4 linked regions of the Drosophila melanogaster genome follow. The protein of the gene in region 2 interacts with the protein of the main gene of each other region in a pairwise test. Each region holds a gene or a part of one and is shown on either strand. Other genes may lie near its edges. The genes, in order: Sec15, Droj2, CG13133 and CG10958.

Region 1 (5,073 bases), 7.7 Mb from region 2:
AAGCCAATTGGACATGCAACCTACAATTGCCGAGTGATGATAATAAATTGTAATTTGTGCTTTCAGTGAACTTACATCGTCATCTACAGGCACATGGCGTCGACTACTTGCAATTCTCATTTCGCTGGATGAACAATCTGCTGACACGCGAGCTGCCGCTGCACTGCACCATCCGATTGTGGGACACATATCTCGCAGAGTCTGACGGCTTTGCCCTGTTCCACTTGTACGTGTGCGCGGCATTCCTTCTGCACTGGAAGGAGCAGCTGATGCAACAAAACGATTTCCAGGTGAGTCTCCAGACGAAAAGATCTTCCCTTCCTGCAACGTCTACTAATCATTGCCATCTTGCTATGTGATAGGGCCTCATGTTGCTGCTACAAAATCTGCCAACACACAACTGGTCCGATCGACAAATCAACGTTCTGCTGGCCGAGGCATTCCGCCTGAAGTTCACGTATGCGGATGCGCCCAAGCATTTGGAGACGAAGAGTTGACAAAAGCAACACAAACAACGCATATACGTAACTTAGAAGTTAGTTTATTACGATTTGCGGAATATACCTACACAATACACGTACGCTACATACATCTAATAATTATATACAATTTGTTATTTAGACGTTCCTCTCCGTTTGTTTTCATTCTATGTCGTTTTCGTTTTGTATTTATCAACAATCCGTACGTAGGCAACCGCTAAAGTTCTGCGCTTTTTGTACATAAGAATCAAAAATTCAAAATACAATTTTACACGTTCAACGGGTCGAGCTGTTTCAATTGAAATTTGTCTTTTATAAAAACAAATCGAATCAAATGTAATGAGAACTAAATACTTTTTCCATGTGAAAATTCAAATTAGCCTAAACAATAAAGATGAAAAGCTATAGTTTATGATTACACGAATTCAACAAGGACTTAAAGCGACTAACTACAAGCCTGATATTTCTAATTCTGTCTATCGGCAATGTGCTTAAGCTGCTTGAGCACCGTCTCCAAAAGCTTCTTCTTGTCATTCTTTCGCACCAACGAGAAAATTGGCTTTTTGTCCGCCTCGCGGATCTTTTCCAGTATCACAATAATGGACTGCGGTTGCACCAGATGGTAGCGGTTCTCTTGCTTGCCATAGTCATGGAAATACGTGCTCCATTCCTCTAGAATGAGCAGGTCCAACAGCTGACGGTTACGTAGGAAGTACTTGCTCAGCTCTCCTTCCTTTAGACCAGGCACAGGTTCCGAGGCCGCAAAAAACTCGCACTGCATCAGATCCAAGTTGATTTGTGTGAGTGCTCCCGTGGAAATCTGCTTCACATCCTCGTCATACATGATCGAGTAAATCTTCTCTGCAATGTGCTCGAAGGTGCGTCGGCAGGCCGCCTGGGCGATGTGGGGCAGCTTGAAGGCAAAGCTGTCAAAGGTGCTCTTAAGGTAGGAAATCATGTCCGTAATGAAGGCGGAGGCTATTCCCGGCGGCTCTACTAGTAACCAGTCATAGGCGCTTAGTTCGAAGAACTCATCGATCTTCGAGCAAATACGTAGGCCCACCTGCTTCTCGGCATCTTGCCGGGCCACGTGGAACATGGCCGATGGTGTCTGAGATACGCTCCTCTCCGTGTTGGTCATGTGACACACGAACTCGTCCAGAAACGGCCCTGCCTTCTCCAAGTACTGCGTGTCGATTATGATCTGAATGAGCTGCGTCAGCGTGATGCTCGGCTGGCGGAACACCACAGATAGACAGCCACTGAAACTTCGTGTGAGCAGCAGATTGGCCGCCTTGCGCACCATGGCGGCCACCTCGTTGGGCGATAGGGTGAGCTCCTCGGCGAACTTCATGCAGGCGTACATGAATTCCTTGGCCTGGTGATAAACCTCCGGCACCATTCTCGAAAAGGGGAATTTCTTCGGAAACGGAGCATTTTCAAGCTGTTCCGAGTGGAAGGGGAATCGTTCGATGATGCATTCATACTCTTCCGTGTTTTGTACAACCATGGGCAGGAACTGTTCCTTGTCGAGAATTTCGCGGAACACATGTACCCAGCGTTGCAGTAAAACCTGGAAAGGAAAGCCAAGAGTTTTACAAACAACAGAATGGCTTATAGAATTTCTTAACGTTCACCTCATTATAATGATCCCGCATGTTGTGCAATAGTTCCCAGAGGATGTTCACGGTGTAACCGTAGCACTTAAAGGTGTTGATGGACAGCATAATGAGGTTCTTAATGCGCAGAAGGATATTAGGATCGGTGCAGGACGAAGAACTCATGCTGATTTCGTTGACAAACTTGGTTAACGAGCTGGACCACAGATCCTCCAAATAACTGCTGGTCACGACATCGCCCGCCGTGTTTTTAACGTGATCCTCAACCACGAAGAAGCCAACGATGGCACAGATGTACGTTTTGTAGGCCTCCAAATTGTCGTGCATGTTGGGCGGCGGTTGAAGCACCAGTTTGGCCTGATCCCTGCGCTGCTGACGATAGTCCTTCTCGAAGTACTCCCGCTGACCCAGCACCATGTAGATGTGTAGGCAGCGGTAGATGGGGGAGAAGTCAATGAGATCCTGGGCACTAACGTTGGCACCATCATCATCCCCGCCAGCACCTGCTCCGCCGGCTTCGCCGCCATTCATCTGCTGCATGTGCTCGGCAATGATGGCGTTGATATCACGCTTTTGGAGCTGTTTTGTGTGTGTGATGGCCAGCTCGCCGATGCGGGGTGAAAACTTCCGGATGTTCTCGAGGAACTCTCGAAAGTCCGAGGCGGAAGAGCGACGGATGTTTTCCTTGATTATGGGAATCTGTATCTGCATCTGGGTGGCGAATCGGTAGTTGTGTGTCTTCAAGCGCGTTAGGTGCTCCGTCTCCAGAGTCTCCAGAGTTCTCAGCGCCTGGTAGTACTGCTTGTTCTTTGCCTGCTGTGTGAACTTCATGTAGCACTCCAATGCGGGCAGACAGGATTTGAGTGCCTCGATGGCGCTGGCCAGATTGGATTCGATCTGACGGGCCCGCACTAGATCATTGCCCTGCTGAATCAGCGAGGCGCTGATCTGGCGAAGGGACGTGTCCAAGGAATGCACTTCGTTGTGCAGCTGTTGGGCCTGCGTGCGCACCTGGAGCAGCTCCTGAATTGAATCGATGAAGCCCTGGTAGTACAGATTGCAGATCCGCTCGATCTCTTTGTCATGGCTCCGTATCCGCTGCTCCAGTTGGTCGCCAATCTGCTTAGTGTTGTTGCCTGTCCGGGAAAAAAGGAAAATGGGCGTAAACAAAGTGTGCCAATTGCTTCTATTCGCAGTCACCTTCAAGGATCGAACGGAATGTTGGTCCCCAGTAGTCGTCCACCGCCTCAATGTCTTGCACGGTCACTTTGGACATCTTATAACGCTCTTTTTTCTCTTCTAAACAACTTTTTACCAAACTTTAATGAGCAATTATTTCGCCGACTTATCGGTATGGTATATCGAATATTTACTAAGTGTTATCGAGGTTTGACTTTCGATACTAGGCGATAACAATTTTAAGCGGTATGTTTTAAATTATAATACAAAGTTGTGTCAGAGAATATCTGACTGCATTATCTTTTAAAAAGATATTATCACTAGGATTGTAATAAAATAAATAAATCAAATAGGCGAAAACTACCGAATCATAAACTTAATTTATATATGTATATCAAAATCCGGTTCTTAACTATTTAAGCAGGAAACAATGATTTGTAAAATATTTATAAATTAATTAAATATTTACAACTTAAACCTATGCTATTAGTAATGTTCACCAACATAATATTCGTTGGTAATTTTGATAAGAAAAGTAATTAATTACAGATGTTTGAATAACTCATTTTGGCGCCCTTATTTCAAATATCCGCAGCAAGCAACAGGTTGGAATGCCGTCTGCTCGTTATAGGCCGCCTTGGAACAGCTGTTGCTGTTCAGCTTTCACTTTGGCTTCGCTTTGGCTGGCCGCTTCTCGAGAGGGCCAAGAGTTGTCGGTGGAGTTGTGGTTCCGTTGATACAGTTATGTTGCAGTAACACCCGTACACGCACGCAATCACGGCACAAGCTAAACACCCGAAATCAGCAAAGATGGCCGACCTACGGAGTCGCCACAATGGAACCGCTGCCATGGAGAAGCAAAGCCACAGCCAAACCGGAAGCCACCATCACAACAACAATAAAGCGCTGGATAAGGAAGCATCGGAGAATGGAAAGCCGGAGAAGAGTGATCCCATGATATACATAATCTTCGTATCGCTGCTCTTCGACTTACTGGCCTTCACCATCATTCTGCCGCTGCTGCCCTCGCTGTTGGAGCACTATCGCCAGAACGACAGCTCCGGCTTGTATGCCGTGCTCACGGATCGGGTGCGCTGGTTCCAGCAGCTCCTGGGCGCCCCGGATCGCTACATATCGGTGCTATTCGGAGGCTTTCTCGGCTCCATGTTCAGCTTCCTGCAGTTCGTGGCCAGTCCGATTGTCGGAGGACTCTCGGACTACTACGGACGGAAACCAGTCCTGCTGGCTTGTGCGGTAGGTAATCCCAGTGCTCAATGCTTTAATGTGCACTAAACACTAAACTAGTCTTGTTAGTTTTCTTTTTGGCTTGGTCAACATTTCATGCTATTACGAGTTCAATCCAAAAGCGTGGAATTCGTCAAATTCAAACTCCTTAGCTAAGCCACAAATAAGTAAACCTTCCTTAAGCTACGTCTTCTTTCATCTATAGAGTGGTATTGCGTTATCCTATCTGATCTGGGCCTGCTCCAGCAACTTTGCCCTGTTCGTTTTGGCCCGCTTCGTGGGCGGAATTAGCAAGGGCAACATATCCCTGTGCATGTCCGTCATTACGGATGTGTCCAGCGTTAAGACCCGTGGACGCGGTATGGCCCTTGTGGGTGTGGCCTTCTCGCTGGGCTTTATTGTGGGGCCCATGATTGGAGCCCTGTTCGCCATATTCTCCGATAAAAGTGGAAGTACTTGGTTTGTGTTGCCCTCTCTGCTGGCGTTTGGCCTGGCAGTTGGAGATCTTGTGGTCCTGGCCTGCTGTCTGCGGGAAACGTTGCCCAAGGTGC
Region 2 (5,561 bases):
AACTTTGTACGCAATTTAAAATCTATCCTTCCTTCAGGGTGTCAATTTGATACGGAATGCGTGAATCTGGATAAGTGTCCCAGGACCAGAGCAGTTATGAACTCATCCAGGAAAAATATAATAGGTCTTAGAAGATGCGGCACTAATAAAGTGTGCTGCCCCAAGTGGGAAACGTATCTGCCACACGATACTTGTGGACAATCAAGAAGAAAACCTACGAAGGGCAAAATACCGGCGCTGAATGAGTTTCCCTGGATGGCCATGCTGTTATATGGAAATAAAAACAATTTGTCCCAGAAGCTGGTACCAAAATGTGGTGGATCCCTAATAAACAACTGGTACGTCCTGACCGCAGCGCACTGCGTGGAGTATCCATTTATGGACTATCCGTATGCCCTCAAAACAGTGAGACTGGGCGAACATAACACGTCCACAAATCCCGATCGGGCTATTGTGAATGGAAGAAGACAGTACGCTCCTCTTTATATGGAAATTGAAGTGGACCAAATTATTACGCATGAACAATTCAACCGGGGAAGGCGGCTGATAAACGACATAGCACTCGTGCGTCTTAAGTTTCCTGTGCGGTGAGTAATGATTCTCCTCTGGTCGAAATAGAAGTAGGATATGAATTGAAATAATATATCTTTATATCTTCCTATAGCTATACGAGAGCCATCCAACCTATTTGCCTTCCAAGAGCCCAAAAATTGGCCGCGCATAAGCGAAAGTTTCAAGCATCCGGCTGGCCAGACATGGGACAAGGAATTGCAAGTGAGGTACTCTTGCGCAGCTTCATCGCGGAACGGCATCCAGATGTGTGCAAATCAAATTATGACTTTAATTTGGGCAGTCAGATATGTGCTGGTGGTCTGGATGGGAATGACACCAGTCCCGGCGATTCCGGGGGACCCTTAATGGAGACCGTGATACGTGGAAAGGTCACACTCACTTATGCAGCCGGCATAATCTCCTACGGACAGAAGCCCTGCGTACTTAAAACTTGCAAGCCAGCATTTTACACAAAAACTTCATACTTTTTTGAATGGATAAAATCGAAATTGCAAAGTCCATTTATCGACAGCGACAGCAAATCTCGTACTAGAAAATAAGCAATTTATTTAATTCCTACATTTTATTGCCTCAAAAACTAGTTTAACTGCATCCAGGAAAAGGTTCGGCGCGATTTTTGCGCAGTACGAACTGAATTTTTCGGTTCATGTCCTCGTTGTAAATGGCCTTGCATTTCTCGAAGTTGATGCGACGACGAACCTATACAATAGTTTAATACAGTAAATAATAATAAATAGTTAAGTTATTTAAAGTCGAACCTGATACGGCTTTTCGTAGAATCGCGTGCGGCGAAATTGGTCGAGCAGTTCTTCTTTTCCCAAGACGCGATTTAACAGACGACACGCCTCCTCCACATTATTGTTTTGCACCAGAACGGTGCGGGCCAGAAACTGCACGTGTCTCATTTCGGATAAGTAGTTTTATTTTATAAAGTTTTCCAAATGTTTATTAAATAATCGGCTTTCAAAACAGTGTGACCATTTACTGTACTGCTAAACAGCTGATGAATATCACTAACCAGGGCTAACGATTGCTAATAAGAATCGTGGACTCAGAAGGAGTACTTTGAGAACCACTCAACTTAATAAATAAGAAAAATATTTATTCAACACAGTATTTATTAATGCATTGCCAAAATTATTTCTGTAATGCCCATCACACTTAAGAAATACATATTATATCCCATCAAATTATCAAAAATTGCTAATCACCTGAAAATGACTAAAATACCAGTTTTCGGACCTTTGCGGTGCGAGGCAACCCTGATGTTGTGGTTTTTCTTGCCGTTTGCCGCTCTGGTCACACTGGTTTCCAGTTTTCTTCCTAGCGTGGCGGCCATAGTAAGCTGTTGAAAAGTATTCGACGTAAATTAAATTTGTTGTAAAAGTGAAACTTCCAGGAATCGGGCTGCGAAAGTTACTATTTGCTTTAGGCACGACACGACACGAAAAAAGGTGAGCTGGGGCGGCTCTGGGCTAATTAAGATTACCACCTGATTTTGCACATTTCGTCTCGCATTGTGCGGTTTGCCAATGTGTGTGTCTACTTGGTAGACACTTCCTTTGCGCTTGGTTTTCTCATCTCTGTCGTTAAGTAATCATCGATAATTGTTTTTTGTCAGAGAATTTGCCTTCGATTTTTGGCATTAGATTTGCAAAATCGATGGCCATCTAGCTTTTTTTCTCTTCTTTGTTCAATCGAATTCTTCTGACGCAGCGTCTTGCGCGGCACATGTTGGTACGCATACAAGCGCAAAGTCTGGTGCATGTGTGTGCTAGGCACTGGTGAAAATATAATAATTGTATCTATTGATTTGCCTGCTAAATCGAAGGCTGCTTCTAGAATTCATTTCCATTCTTATTTTCGACTCTGCCCTTTCTCCTTTCATTTGTTCCCCTTTTCGTTCTTTTACGGTTTTTTCATTATTACCCTCTCCGCTTTGCAGTCGCCGTTCGCAAAACCAGGGCTGCAATGCGCTGACGAAAACTTCTAGAAACTGTGTGTATGTGTGCGTGCGAAAGAGAAGCGGTTGTTGTCGAAAGGGGGAAAGAGAGCGTCAGCTGCTCGCCGTATTGAAATACGACAATTGTTCTAGAAAATCGACTAGAAAACGTCGCAGTTATTTTCGCGAACACATGGCGGCGTAACGACCTTGAATCCCGGGCTCTAGCTTCCGGCAATGCCTACTATTTTCCGTTGCCCCCCAAATTACACGGAAAAAAATGGGTGATGGCATCAAGTCACAGCTGTAGAAATCAATAAACAAGAAAGGGTCATATGATCGAGTGGTTTCTGGATTTTGAAAAATGTATTTCTACAAAAAAAAATGGGTAACAAAATATAGGTTACTGATTTTTGTTTACAATACTAGTTAGAGAGGAATCAGCCCTTTGAACTATGAAATGTCATTAGATATAAAACTGACAATAACTTCCATCGGGAACCTAGCTGCCATAGAAACAGCACCACAAAATAAATTTTTTTTTTTCATTTTTTATAAGAACTGGCATCCAAATCGGTTGAAACTTCAAAAATTTTCGGTATTACACAACTTCATAATTTCTACCTATATATGCCTGGAGCATACACAAATCTGTTCCCCAATCTGTTATTTACAAGCTCCCAGATAGTAATTACGCACTACTTCGTCTGTTCACAGTAAACAGCAAACAAAATGGTTAAGGAGACTGGATATTATGATATACTTGGCGTGAAGCCTAATGCCACGCCCGACGAGCTGAAGAAGGCTTACCGCAAGCTGGCCCTCAAGTACCATCCGGACAAGAACCCCAACGAGGGCGAGAAATTCAAGGCCATTTCGCAGGCTTACGAAGTGCTGTCCGATGCGGACAAGCGACAGGTGTACGACGAAGGCGGCGAGGCGGCCATCAAGAAGGGCGGCGCAGATTCCGGTGACTTCCGCAATCCTATGGACTTCTTTGAGAAGTTCTTTGGCGCTGGATTCGGAGGTAGTGGCGGTGGACGCAGGCGCGAGAGGCGTGGCAAGGACGTGGTGCACCAGATGTCCGTACAGCTGGAGGAGCTGTACAATGGAGCGACCCGCAAGCTGCAGCTCCAGAAGAATGTGATCTGCGACAAGTGCGAGGGTCGCGGCGGCAAGAAGGGCAGCATTGAGAAGTGCTTGCAGTGCCGTGGTAACGGTGTGGAGACACGGGTTCAGCAGATCGCCCCCGGCATCATGCAGCACATCGAGCAGGTGTGCCGCAAGTGTTCGGGAACTGGCGAGACCATTCAGGAGAAGGACCGCTGCAAGAACTGCAGTGGCCGCAAAACGGTGCGGGAACGCAAGGTATTGGAAGTGCACATTGAGAAGGGAATGCGGGATGGCCAGAAGATCGTGTTCACGGGAGAGGGCGATCATGAGCCGGAATCTCAGCCGGGCGATATTATTATTCTTTTGGACGAGAAGGAGCACTCCACATTCGCGCACGCCGGACAGGATTTAATGATGAAGATGCCGTTGCAACTTGTCGAAGCGCTCTGCGGATTCCAGCGAATCGTTAAAACGCTCGATGATCGCGATCTGATTGTGTCCACACAGCCCGGCGAGGTTATCAGGCATGAGATGACCAAGTGTATTGCCGAGGAGGGTATGCCCATTTTCAAGAACCCCATGGAGAAGGGCACGTTGATCATCCAGTTCGAGGTGATCTTCCCGGAGGTGATCAATCCGTCGGTGGTGCCCACGCTTAAACAGTGCCTACCCCCGGCGCCGGAGGTTGACATTCCAATCGATGCAGAGCAGACGGTTTTGGTGAGTATTTCAGTAGTAGTTTATATCACGATATATAAATAATATATTATTTATAATTAATTTATTTATCGATTTGCTTATCTTTCGCAGGAGGACTTTGATCCCAAGCAACGTCGCCAGCAACACCAGCGCATGGCCTACGATGAGGACGATGGCGGCTATCAGGATGGCCCACGCGTCCAGCAGTGCACATCGAGTTAAGCGCCCCCGCTGCGTGTTGCATCCCCGGACACACAGCCCTAATAATACCCCAACCAACAAGCCGTAATAATATGTAAACCAGCTCCCGGAACACTGTAATTGCGCTTGCAAGTGCCGAAGAACTCCCAAAAGCACCTTAAAACACCATCCAATTCACACTAGGAGGCCCAACCAATCGAGAGATCTAAAGTTATTTCATGCAAGCTACGATATTTAGGTATAAATCAAAGAAACTTATCAGATATATGCACTATGTCTATAACGCGTGGTTGTTTGTAAACCAACATTTTTCTTTATGTTTATGTTGCGTTGGATTGTCAAAGAATCGAAAACGGAAACTGAAACTAAACTAAACTGAAATTGAAATTAGCCGCCACTAGAACCGTATCTAAAGTCCGCGCCAGCGAACACGTCTAGGAACAAGTTTAAGTTATTTAATTCCAGCATAAATAAAAGCGTTAGTTTAAACGGATATAACAAATAAATAATTAATACACAATTTCAACCCAAATGCTGTATATTCTTCTTCCCATAGTTCCAGTATCACTTGCCTTCCTCCGGCTATCTATTGATTCCATAATCGCTGCATAGTCACCCGCAGGTGTGAATCATTCGAATAATGCCAATTGGAGATATCAGGCATATGGCAGTAGTTTCGTCTTGAGTACATTATTTAAAATGCTATCTGGGATAAGTAAAAGATAAAAAGAAAGATAAGGATAGTTTGGGATATATATGGTAATGCCATTAAATCGTTAAGGATATAATGAGGGATTTTGTAGTTGTTGAGGATTATAAAGCATCCTATAAATGAATCTGCGGACCTGCCTGTCGCAAGGAATAACATCAAAAGCAAATTCAAAATGTAAAATGTTTTGTAAATTTATTTACAAAATTTCAAAATGAACTACAACATAATCTGGTGGAAACTAGTGCGCAAAGTTTCGGAGAGCGGCCACAACTCCAGTTCCATAGATGAGCTTCTCCTCCACACGCTGCCAAGCCTCCTGCT
Region 3 (3,251 bases), on a different chromosome or scaffold from region 2:
GTGCACAATTTGTAGCCAGCAAACCAATTGACCTTTTGAGGAAGGAATTTAGATTCCTGCTAATATTAGCTTAACCCTAAGCACTTGCGTAATCTATATTTGTCCCAGCGCCATGAAGTGGAAGGGCTTGACTGCCTGTCAATGCAATTTCAAACCCATCTACCCCTTGGCCCCCATCCCCTTTTGACTTTTCTGCTTTTCCCTTGGCCAAGAAAACATCGACTTTTGGCTTGGAAGCTAACGAAACTGTTGCAGTCACTTTTGGCCGTGCTCTGAAAATTTGTCAAACTTGCTTAAAAGCCAAAGCAAAAATTCAATTTCAGCAGCCATGCAGCGCGAGCAGCCAAATTGCCTGACCCCAGCAGCACCAGACATAAGTAAAATATATATCGTATATATTTTACAAATTGGCTCAACCCGGGGCAGCAGTGGTACAAAAATGGCAGCAACAAAGAGGCAACAACTGTCTTGACAACGCAACGACGATGTCGTCGTCGTCGTCTAAGGACAATGGAATACAGCTATCGAATACAGGGTGCAAATCGAGAGGAAGTGGTTGTAATTTGGTCCCACGAGCCTTAAGGATTTGGCGGGAAATTTAATCCGACGCAGCTTTCATTATCTACAGCCAATCAGAAAATTTGGTTGCTTACTTTTGCCATATTTTCCGTAAAAGATAGCACCCTGTTAACAGCTGTTTGGATAGCACTGCAGTCACACTGAAAAAAAAAACGCACTAAAAAAAGTGTATTTCAAATTTTAAAATAAGTATACAATTTTAACAAGGACTTTTGCCACTCTTCATGGAGTAGCTTTCGATTTTCATAGATATCCATGCAGTTTCTCTTAGTGCATAAGTATCCAATGTTGCTGTGGGGTCACGATTTTCATTAGTTTCATTTGCCACAATGCGTCTGCCATACTCGTCTGCCGAGTTCAGTTGCTCGGATTTGCTTTGCTCTTCCCGTGGCGGGGTGACAATGGTACAATTAGTGACACCATTCGCCATTCCTCCAGCACTCGGTTTGATTCAAAATTTTTGGCATTATCTCATAACTGGCTCAACTCGCGCTGTGTGCACTGTGCTCTCCTTGTCCCGTCTTCCGATTCCGGCTCCTTGGCGCCGCTTGTGCAATAAAAGGACGAAGCTCCGCGGCTGATTGGACTGCTGGTGGGACGGGTATTGATCAAACAGTTCGAGTTGTCGGACAAGGCTGAGACCCACTTTCCCGGGAACGCGTGTCCCACTGAAGGAACGCGATACAGTAAAATCCTGATATATGTAACTGATTGAGAGTTATCACTTAGTAAAAAGCCATTTACCTGTAGCCAACTTAATTAAAAGAATATCTTTTGGTTTACGTGCATGTTTCTAAATGATCCTTTCCTGCATCGAATTGGAGTCGCACCTACTGAAGAGTCACTGTACTTAAAAACGCCATTGAAGGTGGAACAGAAATATGCTCAGTTAGAGTGGCTTTGGTGCCAGGTACAGTTGTGCAGCTCCAAGTTCCAGCGATTACCATAACCTCATCCACTCAGTTAGCTTGTAAGAGTCGAACCGGGCGGAGGGCAACGGTTTTTTTGGCCACATAAGCCAAAAATCAACACGCTTGCTCCGTGTGTCCAACGAACCGGAGTCCGTGCATCGGGAACCGGTGGCGCAGTCATGCCCATCCACTGGGACTGGGATTGGGAGCATGATCACGAGCATGGTCACCATCACTGGCAACCGCCGCGTCGCCACTGGTCCACCGGGGAGTCCAAGTGCCGGCAGAGGCACTACTATCTCTCCCACGACCTGGACGTATGTGCGCGGGACTTTCACTTGCGGATGGACGACAGTGCCTGGTGCCATGGATCCTGTCTGGTTGGGCGAGTGGTCATAGAGACCGGCACCGAACCGGACTCCCTGGGTCGGGGCACCTTCAAGGTGGTGCTGGACGTGCACCACTTTCAGATCTCTGAGCTCACGGTGAAGGCCAAAAACAGCGACACCGTGTGCGTGGAGGGCAAGCAGGCGGATGACCGGGCGGAGAAGGGTCAGTTGTGCATCACTCGCGAGTTTACGCGATCCTACAAGCTACCACGGCACTACGATGCCACACAGGCACGGGCCACCTTCTCTGCGGACGGAATACTGATGATTACGGTGCCAGCACCACCGAAACTGGACGACGTGGAGCGCGAGATCGAGATTGAGCCCACGGGCAATTACTTTGGCAGCGTGTCCGATCCCACGGCGCCCAAGGCTATCGAGCAGGCGGATGTGGACGGCGATGGTGGAGAGGCTAATCCTGCTGGCACGGCGATGGACAAATGAAGCCGGCGACGTCTGGCGGTTGCGCGGCGGTTCCGCTTGCTCATACCAAAGTGGAGGCGGAAGTCCAAATGCGTTTAGGCCGCCAGAGGCAGTCGATCGGTTGGAGGGCAGTTGCAGTATATCAGACGGAGAGACAGTCGAAGCACATTCCAGTCACCTGGCGCACATGCACGTTGGAGTTTTTCGTGGAAACCAAAATCACTCGGATTGTTCCTGGGTTCCAGCTTAGATAGCACGTAGTCCTTCGTTCGAAACGTGAGCAAATATGGCGAAGTCAACATTTTGTAGAATTTTCTTAAGGTAGCTTCAATATAACGTTTAAGAGTTCATATCCGCTTGTGATTTTGTTTAACGCCAATAAAGGACTTTATCAGAAAACAGGAGAGTTTTGAATATTTCCAGATTTTTCGAAGAAATAATTTAACACCTTTAATCTTATCATTTATTTAAACGGTATTCTGTTTTATTTTGTACTGTATTTTGCAATGGCTGTTCATTTTCTTCGAGCTTAATTATTAAATATAATGAAGATGAACATTTCACTGGAAAATATATTTACATTTAATGAATTCTAAATCAAATCGGATCAAGGTATTTAAAGATAACAATGTTTCATTCCACCAAGTTGTTATTTCAAGTACAATCCGAATGAAAATATCCTCCAGCTAATCGGGAAAACAAACCCAAATCAGGGATAAATCATGCCTCTGGGAAAACTTCAGCTCGAATTCAAAACCCAAGCGAATTGGATTTCTCGCTGCTTTTAACTTTCCTGTCACGCAGCTTTTGATTAGCGTCAAATTTGAATAAAATTCACTAACACCTTTTGTGTTTTTCTTGTCTGTGTTCGTATCCTCGGGCACATGGCCCATAAAAAGACAATAAAGAAACCCAGCTAGTCAGCTAGAAGTGTATAATAGACGTAGGC
Region 4 (5,108 bases), on a different chromosome or scaffold from region 2:
ATATATATGTAGTATAACCATTTTCTTGTCTACCGCTCAACTTTATCGGTTTGCCCTGATAAGACACATAAGACACAAGTGCAACAAGTTCTAATCGTTTGGCTTCCAGTAGTGAAATGGTAGCTGTGGGAGGTAAGCGATCGAAGGTATTCCCCGTCGTAGAGATCATCTAACGCCAACTAGTTCCCACGGACTCAAAGTTCGAAATGAAATGAAAAGCAAATCAAACATCTGAGATCGACAGTTTGGTGGACCAGAGAGCGGCATGGACGGCATTGGGAATATTTCTAAAGGGGATGGATGGGTACTTTAAGTTTATGAAGCAAATACAAGTCATATTTATCTCAAAGATATGGTATTAAGATTAATTTAAGGACTCAAGGGGAAACCCCTCACAAATGTTATCAAAGAGCTCTTTTCATGCTAGGCACTAATAATGATATCAGAGAGCTGTTCATAGTTTAGAGCGGGACAAACTGAGCTATAGACGTAGTAATATTTAACTTTGAGGGGTTCCATTATTTTAAATATTTAAAATCACAAGGTTTTCATGTTCAAAATATACTTTTATTGCACGACTCTTGAATGAAACAAGCTTTTTCAGATGGCGCCCGTGCAGGGACCCCACGTCTCTAAACTATTTCGATGTCAATGTCAAAGAGCAAGACCTAGGCACAATTATAATTTATCATGTTTGCAGTGAAATCGGACAATAATTGCTTGGGATTATGTATGTGCATTGCGGTTGAGGCTGTAATTGAATAATATCGCACCTAGACGGTGAACTTTTGCAGCAGATGGCGCAACTCTTCGTTTTGGCGACGCAGAAAGACGACTTCCGCATCGTACTGCACACGCATCTTGAGCACCTCAACGTAGTGATTCAGTCCGTGCTCCAGTGTCTTCCACAGCTTGCACTTGGAGGCCGGGAAGCAGGCCGAGAACTGGCGCCAGAAATTACGGATCTCCGCATCTGTAATCTGAATGAGATTTACCGCATTGAGAATGCTACCCGGTTCGTGTTCGTACATCTTTTTGTGCATCTTGGAGGTGAACAGATTCATGGCGTGCAGGCAGAGGGCCGGTTCCATGACCAGATAGTGATTGTGACATCTCTTGGCCGCCACCTCGCTCTTGGGTAGAAATGTATCCCCTGTCGACCTATGCTCCTTTTCATCCGGTTGGCCACCCGCCGCGCCCTGCAGCCGATTTGGCTTTTGATCCTTCATGAACACCTCGGCACACTTGCGTGGACTCAATCCCTGCGGCTGGCAATTCGGACAGTAGGTGTACGGCATGAAAACCTTGGTCAGTTCCTTGACATCCCGCAGATGACGAATTCGCAGCGCCGCAAATATATTGTCGATGCGTACCAGGCATTTTTCCTCCTCGGAATACGGTTCAAGAATCTTTAGCAGACGCTCCTCGATGAGGAAACCGCCGCGATCGGACAGCTTGCGAATAAGATTACGCATCAAGCGTAGTGAATCCGGCGGAAGCTCCTTGATATCCGGCTTGCAATTTACGCCCGAGTTGGGCATCACCCTGTTCTTGGGAACCCGGCCAATTCGCATGTCAAACTTCTCCAGAATGTTATTGCGCTTTTTCTTCGCCTTGTTGATGTTTGGAATGGGTGGCACGGGGCTGGACCACGGCATGGCCAACTGCTGCTCGTGTATGATGCGATCGATGTGGTAGACCCGATCCACCAGCAGGTTCAGTTCCTTGTAGTTGATCTCCCAGATGCGATCGAACTTTTCGCGATTGTTCAGCCTCGCCTGATGCGCCTTCGACTCCATATCGTTGATGTTGGAGTGCAGCTTGTAGATGTCCGAGGAAAGACGGGCTATGTTCCGCTTGCCCGTGTTGTAAAGATTCTTCAGGCCACGCCGGGTGCGTCCGATCGCCTCATGCAGTCGGGCCACCCGTCGCTTCTGCTGGTTGTTAATGATCACGTTCTCCTCGTTGCGCTTCTGGAGAACCTGATAGTTGTAGTCCAGCTTCTCGGAGTTCATCAGCACATTGTCGCGCGTGCGACGTAGCTCCAGCTCGAGCCTCTCGCACTCCTTCTCCAGCCGAATGCGAGTGCTCTTGGTCAGCTCCTCCTGGGACTCGTTGATCTGCTGGGTTTGGCGAGCATAGAATTGCTCGCGTGCCCTTACCAAATTGGCCTTCTCGTCAAAGTTGGCATTCATCGCATCGAAGAAGGTGCGCCACTTCTCCACCGCATTATCGGCGAAGATTTGACGCTCCTCCTCGATGGTTTGCCGCAGCATTTGGATGTGCTCCTTGTAGGCCTCCTTAAGCGTCTCCACCTGGTGATCAACGCGCTCCACCAGACAACAAAGATCCTGGGCCTGCCGCTCGCGATCGAACTCGTACTTGGCATTCATGCGGTCCACCTCCGCTTGGCAGGCAGATATCATCTCATCCTTGCGTGCCATAATCTCGGCAATGCGTTTCTTTTGCTCTTCGATTTGGTCCCACAACAGCATCGGCTCATTGGTCTCCTCCAGCTCCGTCCAGCGCGCCTTAATGTTCTCGAAACGGGCCATTGTCTCAACGCTTTCGCGTTGCAGCTTCACATGCATCTGATTCTTCTGCGCACCCTCGAAGAGTCGGCGATTCAGCTCCCTTCGCTCGTTGGCCACCCGGACATTGGTCACTAGTTCTTTGCCAAAGCGCACCAGTTCGTTCAATCGCTCACTGGACAACTCCAGCCGTTGATCAATCGGCGACTTCTGGGCCTGGCAACGTTCGGCGACGCCTTTCGGGGCCTCGCGGAACTGCTGACGCACCCGGTTGAGTATCGCCAGCCGGCGTTCGTCCAACTTCTTCACCGACTTGTCGCATCGCTCGTTAAAGATCAGGCCATCGATGCGGTCATTAAAGGACTCCCAACTGTCCACTGGTCCCAGATCGGGCTCCACCTCCTCCTCCTCCTCGACACTGCCGTCGCTGACCAGCTCCTGGTGCTCCTCCAGCTCATCCTCGTTGTCGTCCATTGTTTAAAATATATGCCAGGTCGAGATTTGGATGAGAATCGCTTTGTTGTGCGGAATTTCTGAAGGCAACTCTGCTCCAAATCAAGGTGGTTTGTTGTGTGACTGGAGAAGTTTGATCGAAGGATCCCGGGTTCCCTTGGTTTCGTGGTCATTGCCCATTTCGCCTACTTTTCCGGTAGAAACAAAAATGTTGTCTTTACGTTTGTTTACTTCTGTTGTCAGTGGTGCCCGCCCCATTAGTGTTGCAAAACAAGAGAAGTGCAGGCTTAAGCAAATATACATGATCTTTTTTTTTAATAAAAAGTGTCTCATGACTGCTTTACCATATTTTGTCAATAATAATTAACAATAAATCATTGAATAATACGTATTTAATACATAAAAGTCTATTTAGTTTTGAAATTAGTTCATCTCCACCCGAAATAATCGTTATCGAAATGGAGCAATAAGTGCTGTAGCTAAAGTTATTTCCTTCTCACTTCCTCCTGCTGTATAGCCCGTGCTGACGTCACCGGGGCCTTGCTAAATGCAAAATGAGTGGAAAATTCCATTGCCAAAACCGCAATGACCCCTTGGTACAACCAAAAGGCGCGATGTTTGACCCCTTGGTTGCAATCAACAGTCCGAACTTGATGCCCTTTAAAATACAGCCCTGCGGATTTGTACACACTGGGTTGCATTCGACCAAAAAACTTGGTACTGCCATTCAAAAACAAAGTCAAGCGAATGAATTCTTTACATGATAGTATTTAATTGCGACCTATATATGTACAAAATTTGCGCGGAGTTGCGGCACTCAGTTATCCTCAGTCTTCAAGGTGATTTCATATATCAGCTCGTCGTTGTAGTCCTGCCCTCGGCCATGATGCTGCTGATGCTGCTGGTGATGCTGTTGGACAGCGTTAAAGTACTGATCCTCGGTTAGCAGCTCATCTAAATCCTCACCGCCATCCTCTGCGTCCACTGCGTTCTCCACCAGCAGGTGCTGGTCATCGTAATCCGATAGCTGCACATACTGTTGCTCGCTCTCGTCCAAATATTGGCGATTGGACGGCGAACCCTGCTCCTCTGGTTGATTGTCCTCAACCAACAGGCCGTCATCCTCGTCGTACTCCTCCTGCAGTGGGCCCATGCCGTCGTAATCGTCGTCCTGGCCATTCATATTGCGACCGGAAATGGATTCCGAATCGGATCCTTCACGATTCCCATCCGCATTCACAAAGCGACGCGTATTGCTACGGCACTGAATCGAACGCTTGTGGGCATCGAAGTAGCTGATGTCGGTGAACTCCTCCTGGCACAAATGGCACACGTATGTGCCCTGGCTCAGATGCATCTCCTTACGATGACGGGCCATCTTGTGAGCATCGCGACACTGCATGCCACAGAATGGGCATTTGAGCATCCGCCGCTTGCCCATGTGAACATTGCGGATGTGCTCCTGCAGAGAGAAATTCTTGTAGTAGGCCTTCTGGCAGTACTCGCACTGGAATCGCCGCTTCTTCTCGTGCGTCGCCTCGCGATGCCGCTTCAGCTGGGTATTCTGGGCGAACGTCTTGCCGCACACTTCGCAAATATGCTCCTTCTCCAGATGTCGGCGCTGATTGTGCACGCGCAGATCCTGCTTGGTCGAAAAGTATAGGGTGCACAGTTCGCAGACGTATGGACGGATGCCCATGTGGCGCCGCGCATGTCCGGCCAGGTACTTGCAGTCGCGATACGTTTCCGTGCAGTAAATGCAAGCATAGCGATTGGTGCCAGGCACCAGATGGGTCTTGTGGTGCTTGGACAGCTTTGATTTGTGCATCACATCTGGGCAAATGCCGCACTCCACCGGCAGCTTCTCGTCCATGATGTCGCTGATCATGGAGAACTCCACAAGGGGTGTGCTATCCTCGTCAAAGTCCACAATGGTGGCTATCAGGTCGTCGAAAAGCATGTAGCGACGCGGTCCCTTGAACTCCTCCAGCATCTTTTCGCTTGGCTTCACCTCCTTCACGCTACCATCATCGTCGTCGTTGTTTTTTTGGCTGACAAAGCTACGTAAGGCGATCTGGCGGGCAGAATTTCTAGCTTTGCTAGCGGGCTGGACAACAGGCGACG

What was found.
Region 1: the proteins of Droj2 (region 2) and Sec15 interact in a two-hybrid assay, tested with the Drosophila melanogaster proteins (one large-scale study listed by BioGRID).
Region 3: the proteins of Droj2 (region 2) and CG13133 interact in a two-hybrid assay, tested with the Drosophila melanogaster proteins (one large-scale study listed by BioGRID).
Region 4: the proteins of Droj2 (region 2) and CG10958 interact in a two-hybrid assay, tested with the Drosophila melanogaster proteins (one large-scale study listed by BioGRID).

What each region holds. Positions count from the first base shown.
Region 1 is NT_033777.3:21,104,520-21,109,592, forward strand, and holds Sec15 (secretory 15), read right to left. Parts: upstream 3,454-5,073; 5' UTR 3,375-3,453; coding exon 3,299-3,374; intron 3,235-3,298; coding exon 2,117-3,234; intron 2,053-2,116; coding exon 946-2,052; 3' UTR 527-945; downstream 1-526. Other genes in the region: Tbc1d22 (TBC1 domain family member 22), read left to right, coding at 67-290, 363-497; rtet (tetracycline resistance), read left to right, coding at 4,088-4,531, 4,728-5,069. UniProt on the Drosophila melanogaster protein: Component of the exocyst complex involved in the docking of exocytic vesicles with fusion sites on the plasma membrane.
Region 2 is NT_033777.3:13,380,232-13,385,792, forward strand, and holds Droj2 (DnaJ-like-2), read left to right. Parts: upstream 1-1,874; 5' UTR 1,875-1,913; exon of another isoform or gene 1,914-1,972; 5' UTR 1,973-2,027; intron 2,028-2,590; exon of another isoform or gene 2,591-2,881; intron 2,882-3,033; exon of another isoform or gene 3,034-3,232; 5' UTR 3,233-3,247; coding exon 3,248-4,348; intron 4,349-4,438; coding exon 4,439-4,549; 3' UTR 4,550-5,052; downstream 5,053-5,561. Other genes in the region: CG8870 (uncharacterized protein), read left to right, coding at 38-587, 665-1,112; mRpS21 (mitochondrial ribosomal protein S21), read right to left, coding at 1,156-1,272, 1,332-1,478; CG9799 (uncharacterized protein), read right to left, coding at 5,479-5,561.
Region 3 is NT_033779.5:10,090,654-10,093,904, reverse strand, and holds CG13133 (uncharacterized protein), read left to right. Parts: upstream 1-1,515; 5' UTR 1,516-1,669; coding exon 1,670-2,323; 3' UTR 2,324-2,697; downstream 2,698-3,251.
Region 4 is NC_004354.4:8,130,409-8,135,516, reverse strand, and holds CG10958 (uncharacterized protein), read right to left. Parts: upstream 3,233-5,108; 5' UTR 3,006-3,232; coding exon 774-3,005; 3' UTR 550-773; downstream 1-549. Other genes in the region: CG2116 (uncharacterized protein), read right to left, coding at 3,802-5,108.